2 linked regions of the Caenorhabditis elegans genome follow. The protein of the gene in region 1 interacts with the protein of each later gene in a biochemical or structural test. Each region holds a gene or a part of one and is shown on either strand. Other genes may lie near its edges.

Evidence for each region. The genes of interacting proteins can lie anywhere in the genome.
Region 2: of the proteins of npr-3 (region 1) and flp-21, one has a biochemical effect on the other in vitro, tested with the Caenorhabditis elegans proteins (one study listed by BioGRID).

The regions. Positions count from the first base shown.
Region 1 is NC_003282.8:11,457,996-11,461,751, reverse strand, and holds the start of npr-3 (Neuropeptide receptor 3), read right to left. Parts: upstream 1,769-3,756; 5' UTR 1,761-1,768; coding exon 1,599-1,760; intron 1,129-1,598; coding exon 976-1,128; intron 857-975; coding exon 773-856; intron 215-772; coding exon 78-214; intron 1-77. UniProt on the Caenorhabditis elegans protein: G-protein coupled receptor for flp-15 neuropeptides. Receptor activation assays suggest binding to predicted flp-15 peptides, GGPQGPLRF-NH2 and RGPSGPLRF-NH2. Likely involved in Gi/Go-coupled signaling pathways.
Region 2 is NC_003283.11:7,791,599-7,794,672, forward strand, and holds flp-21 (GLGPRPLRF-amide), read left to right. Parts: upstream 1-1,768; 5' UTR 1,769-1,771; coding exon 1,772-1,856; intron 1,857-1,906; coding exon 1,907-1,976; intron 1,977-2,141; coding exon 2,142-2,187; 3' UTR 2,188-2,427; downstream 2,428-3,074. UniProt on the Caenorhabditis elegans protein: FMRFamide-like neuropeptide. Involved in modulating locomotion quiescence during the sleep-like state called lethargus which occurs during molting between larval and adult stages, acting via the G-protein coupled receptor npr-1.

The DNA.
Region 1 (3,756 bases):
ATAATTGGGATAATTATGGGAAGTGAAAAAGAAATAATGCAAGATAATTGGTCAAATCAATGAGACAAATGACGCACCAATTCTCTTCACAGAATGTGCCGCAAATTTCGTCGTATACTGCAATGTCGCTGTAGATGCCTACAGGAAGTGCTAGAGAGTATCCGAGAAGCCAAATGCAGAAAACAATGAAGACAGCTCTCGGGAAATTTACTATCTGCAATTTAAAAATTTAGACAAATTATATAGATTATTAAATTAAAAATTTTATTTTAAACGCAATTTTTAAATTAAAATCAAATTGTATCAAGGGTATTTAGATCGCCATGAAAAGGATGTTATCATGTTAGAGAATCACCTTTCTTCAAGCTTACGCCCCGGTCGGCCTGGTATAAGGCTTTTAACGGGTAGGCGTAGGTCGCCTTGAAGACAGGAAGGTAGGTTAACACAGTTTCCCGATTGAAAAAACGACTACAAAACGGGAAAGTTGAAGTCCTTGATTGTCCAAGGATCAAAATAAAATGACCAGTCTAATTATTTTTCCCGCCTTTCAGAAGATCATATTCTGAAGAAGAACAAGTTTCCATTAATATTGTACTTAAACACACAAAGAAATACATAGAAGATTTTTACTTGGAAGACATTCTCGACAATAATACATGGAAAAAATAATGAAAAGAGGCATAGAAAAAGAAGGCTCCAAACCACATCAATTTTTATCTGCTCAGAAAAGTTTACTGCAGAACTTCTGGACTGTTTTTTGGGGAGAGCCTACCTCCTGATTTGGACGTAGAATTAGTACACATCTGTCCAGAGCAATAACTGTTAATGTGAATGATGAGACAAAAATCGTACCGCCCTGAAAAGTTTCTGATTTTAATTCAAATTTCTGTTCGCTCCTGTTATTCTGATTAATACACAGTATTTCAGAGTCTAGACATTTATTTATAAATCCTGAAAATCTTATACAAATCTCACCTGGAAAACTCCGATCAACTTGCAAAATATAGCAGGAAATACCCAAACTCTTGAAAATATAGAAATCGCGGTAATTGGCAACGAGAAAAGGCACATTAGAAGGTCTGAACCAGCTAGACATCCAACAAATACCGTCCTAACTGACAGTGATACCTGAAGTTGGCAAATTAGCTTAATGAACTCTTTTCGGGCACTTTGAGCTCAATGACGAATTCTGGAGGTGGTTCGGTAATTGTACTTTCAATCATGTATGAAAGATTCTTGATTCACTAGGAAATTCGATGAATAAAATACCGGAAATTTGAGATGATGGTAGTATCAAAAACAATTTTTTTGAATTGAATGCGAGAAGAGAGATACGGAAGATTTTAATGAAGCCTAAGAACTTTCAAAACTGAAAGTTGAAGTCCTCAAAAATCCTCTTAAAAGGGGGAACCGCTCGTATTTTTTGAAAAAAAAAATTCTATGTAGTATTCTGATTGTTTCAAAAAAAAAATTCCGGAATGGTACAAATTTTAATTTAAAATTTTTTTTTAGAAATTATAACCAAGGTTTTTCAACAAAATAACACTTTTTCTCATATAAACTCGAGAACAAAGTCGATTTTTCTCAACAAAAAATACCTGATTAAAAGTGAGTACATAAAGTACTAGAGTGTTGCCAACAATAGCTCCAACCCAAACAAGAAGGTACAGTAACGAGAATATTGCTCTTATCTGGTTCATATCATTGTATTCAGGTTGCCACTGTTGTACTGTCATTACACAGTTTCGACCACCCTCCATTTTGATTTCTGTAAATATTTAAAATTTTTAAATTAAAATTTTCAAAAATTCCAGAAGAGGAGAACAAAAATATATAGCCAAGTCGTTGGGGTGAAATGAGAGATTGGAGAAAAAACAGGAAACGAATATTAATGAGGATTCATTGAGATTGACAAGGAAATTGGGTCACTAATATGATCAGAAGAAAATTTTGAAAAGAAAAAAAACCATCATAAAATGGAAATTTCAAAATTTTCAGCACGGGGAACTCCGCAACGACACCCTACCGTTGTAGCTCCCACTCCGTATTGTTAATAAATTTGAAAACATTTTCAAGGTTTTCATACACTCGATTCCACTTAAATTCACAGAGTACCCTAGTTAGAGCTGACAACAAAATTCACAAATTCATGGAGCCGATTTGAAAGAAAATACACCATTTTAAACATTAATGTCAGCGAGCCTTCTCTCTTAGAAATAGCAGTTACGTATTAAATATGAAAAATTATGTTCAATTTTGATGCGATTTCCGGAAGGCACACAAGGATTCTGAGATCGCAATATTTAAGTCGTGAGTTTTCAAAAATAATATAGCTTAAAAATTCAAGAAAACTCTTAAAAATAGCCTATTATCTGAAGAACACGGAAAAACAAGGATCCTCCAACTAAACAAAAACATAGAACCTAGAAATTATAAAAATGATGTCTAGAAAAATGTGACATCTATAATCAATGTCTTCTCCGAAAAGAAAGTGAAAATGACTCATAACTAGAAATTTTCGCCGAACAAGATCAAGCCTGATGCATAATGCAACTCCTCCTGCTTCCTTCCTTTAAAAGGCGGAGCCTGAAGCAGCTTCAGCTTTCAAGGCTTAAACGTGTGTTTCTTCTTTTTCTTCGTTCACCCCTAGCGGTTATTACTGGAAACACGAAGAAATTATTGTGAATGAGGAAGGGAGGCGGGAGTCTGTGGGGGAGTGAGGAAAAGAAGAAGGAAAAAATGGCAGGGTGCAAACTAATTTCCATTTTTCCGACCGACTTATTTTCTTTACTAATAATTGACAAAAACGACAACACGTGTTGCATAACATATGAGACAAGTAGGTTGTTTCAATTACACAAACGGACCTTTTCTTCTTGCTCCTTCCACTTCAATTGACTTCTTTTTCTGTGACAAGTCGAAAATGATAAAAAAGTACTACTACAAAAATGGGAGTTTTTCATTGAAAGGGAGTTTATCAAAATTACAGTACTCTTTTATGAATCGGAAAATAAAGATTTCCTGCAGAGACACAAACTTAAAAAAGATGTACGGTAAGAGTTCAAGAATCTTTATAATTTATGATGTTTTCAGAGTGAGTACAAGCCTATGTTATTTTCAGAAGCACAAATTTGCATAGGCAATGAAGAAAAAGGCCTTTTGAAGGGTGGTTTCGAAAATAGAGGCAACATTATTTCGGAATTTATAGATGCTAAGGAAATCCAAAGCAATGTCGCATGTTCCAACCCCTACAATGTTTTGATACAAATAATTAAAACAAAATTACAGTATAAAAAATGTAGGAAAACCATTTTTTGGTCGACTTCCAAATTTATGAGTGCCAAAAACTGAGTAATTGTCACTTTTTGACAGAAATAAAAACATTTAAAAATATTTTTGAAAATTTTTATTAGTATTTTATTAATCGGCCATTTTGATACCATAGGAGTAGTTTATAACACTTTCCCCACTGGCGCTACTTTACTTTTAAACAATGTGAATTAAATAAATATTTTTCGAAAAAGCAAGACTAATATAAGGCACTTCAACAATAAATTATAAATTTTAAGTTTAATAAATTATCAGAAAATCGGAAACACAAATTTACCAAATAAACAATTGAAAATATACTTCAGACAATTTTCAAGTGTTGTTTTTAAATAAAAGGAGAACTCTAGGAGAATTTCTAAAGATTGTAGAATTCTTCTGTTGGATAACAGTTCAAGATAGTTTCCCACGGACTTTTTCTTGCAGACG
Region 2 (3,074 bases), on another chromosome or scaffold:
GCTGATATTTCCAAAACCAAAATATAAGAGATCTTGGAGAAAACGCGTCAAAAACCAGCATTTGACGTGTACCTCTACAAATTCTTTCACCTGCCAAATGTTAAATTTGATCTACTGACCCACTAAAACACTACTTTTTTTGTTACCAATGACAATTTTTATGCGACTTTGACATTTGGACAGGGAAAAGTTTTTCCATTCTTTAGTTTGAAACCGAGTCCAAAAATTACAAAATTTTCAAGTTTTTATGCCTCGCTAAACTCTCTAAAGAAGTTTAACTTTGAAAGTCAATGAGCCAACGAAAATTTGTTTCCTCTTCTTCGATGATGACGAAATGTGCCCCGAAGTAACTCGATAATCGTGGAAATCTCTACTTTTTTCGGCTCATAAAGCTTCTTTATTTCTTTTTTTGGTTTTCATCGAAAACTTATCGTATCAAAAACTACCAACTTTTTTGAATATTTGTAAGACTACATTTTCTCATCACTTTTACCCTCCACCTCATCGTTCATCACATTTATCTTACTCCCACTTGCTCTTCACATCACTTTTGTGGGTATATCAATTGGTTGGTGTTTTTTATGTGTTTGTGAATGTTTTGGGGAAGGCTGTGCAAAAATATCAGAAAAAAGAAGAACCTACATGCATTTTGAGGTGGTCTTCATTGTGACTGTTCCTCATTTGGTTGAGATGTCTGCGAATATTAAAAATCTTAAAGACTTTTTTGACCAAAACAATGTGGTATTAAAGGGGAAAAGAAAGAAGAACGTATGTCAACAGTTTTCCTAGTTCAGTCCTAGATTTTTTTTTCAAATCAACTGTCACATTTTTAAAAGGTTAGATGTGTTGTGGAAATCTCTACTTTTCAATTAAAGTTTAATAACTTTTGGCTGTATCAAATACGTGCATTGAAACTCAACTGTTCTCACCTTAAAGTTTTCTGATGCGTTTACAGTCGGGACCAACTACTTACACTGAAACATGTTTATCTTAATTAAGCGGAGCACACTTCCTTTTATTCAAAAAACCTCATAATGCACAAGACGCTGTTTGCTTTCTTTCAAGACCGTAATTAGACAAAGTCATCGAGCAGTAGATTTTTCAAGTCAGCTATTTTCTTTATTCCAAAAACTGCATATTTGTAATACTCATGAATTTTTCATATTTTATGGTTACTCAAAATCTACACGTCTTTATTACAATCTCTCGTTGAATTATCGCGTAAAATTACATCTTCCAAAATAGGACCATTGTTGTTTTCAAGTCATAGCATATTTTAACGCGATTTCCGGCCACCTCAACTATGCTCTGCAACGAGTATGACGTGCCCAATAAATATTGGGCTATCCTGTTTTCCCACCACATACACCCTCCTCATAGTTCCCAGAAAAAACTTTTACCGGAATCACGTATACATATAACATCATCTTACCTGAAAAAACATTTCGATGTATCATTTGCCTAGGTTCTAGGATGGGTGGTTGCTCTTGGAGCAAAGGTCATTTTTGTGAGTAGTCCAGTAGATTTGGAAGGGGATACACTGAAATATTCATTTCTTGTTTCAAAGCTACCGTAGTGATCACTTCCGTCTTACTATTTATCTCAAAACTTCTTTTTTTCCACCCCATCCCATCATGCTTCGCAAGAATCTCATTAACAAATGCAAATTTACAACGATGACTATGTACACTATTTAAGATTTGATTGTGTATTCAACGTTTGATCTCCCACCCTCTCATTGCTCCAAAATCCAAAAAGTCATTTTCAGACGATGCGGCTGTTCATCTTGCTTTCGTGTCTTCTCGCGTGGGTCCTCGCAGCGCCTTATATCGATCAGGAAGATGCGCTCCGCGTTTGTAAGTTTTGTCAAAGTTAAAGATTTAGATTAATCATTAATCTTTTTCAGTGAACGCATATTTGGAGCAATTCGGACCCGGCAGTGACAGAGTTTACTATGTTGCCGAAGACGATCATGGGTAGGTCCAGTTTAATTATTTTCTGATAGACATCTTTATTAAGTCAAGTCTTACTGTAGAATAAGTTGCAAATCGCTATAATTAATAATTTACCGAAATACGAGCATTCAGCTAGAATAAATTAGTTGCGATTCAGAAAAAAGTAAACTAATTTTAAAATTTCAGATCAATGAAACGTGGTCTCGGTCCTCGTCCTCTCCGATTTGGATAAACGGTTGCTGCTCGAACGAACGAACAACATGACACAACATTTTCTCTCTTTCCTCTCAATGTAACTTTATACAAAAATGATGTTCCAGACACTCCACAATTCCAATTCCGAAGAAATATCTATCCTCTCCTTTTCTCTTTGAAAACGCTGCAGAAACAATGTTCTTTTTACTCTCTCTCTCTTTTTCTATCTCACTTCCTCTTTTTCTGTTGAACAAATAAAAACAGCTTTCAGTTTGACATTTGACTTTTTATTAAGTTTATGAGTGCCCTTATATTTAAGAATTTTCCAATTGTGCAATTGTACCCTGCAACTGTAATGGTAGAATCCGGGAAAATCAGTCAGGATTACATTAATGAAACAGTTGGTGTCTTCCCTGCAGGGGTTGAACAAACATTATGGATACTGTTTCAAGGATCGTAGTTGCCGTAATAAATCCATTGAGGCGTCTATCTCTTGAATTTCTAACATAATGTGCCGACTATATAGTAATAAAGCTCCTGAAATTGAGTTTTGGGTGCCAATTTTGTAGTTTTGTGGAAAGTGTAATGATCGTTGAATTTTGGTTTTTGATGATTTTTAAGAACATTTTCCGAGAAATTTCGTATGGCAATTAATACATGGAAAAAATCAGTCCTAGGGATTTTATTCACAATAAAACCGAGAATTCCCTAGAATTGAAGATAAAGTAGTACTTATACATAGTTTCCTACCAAAGCCGAGCCGATTGCAAAAGTTTCGAAAAAATAAAATATCCAATTCGGTTTATGATTACCGCGAAAACAGAAAATAACATATTTTGAGCAAAAATTCTAGTGTTTTTCAACAATACATTTTAACGTTAAATTCTTAGTTTGGTCAATTCAGCATTCGGGGCCACAAACTCC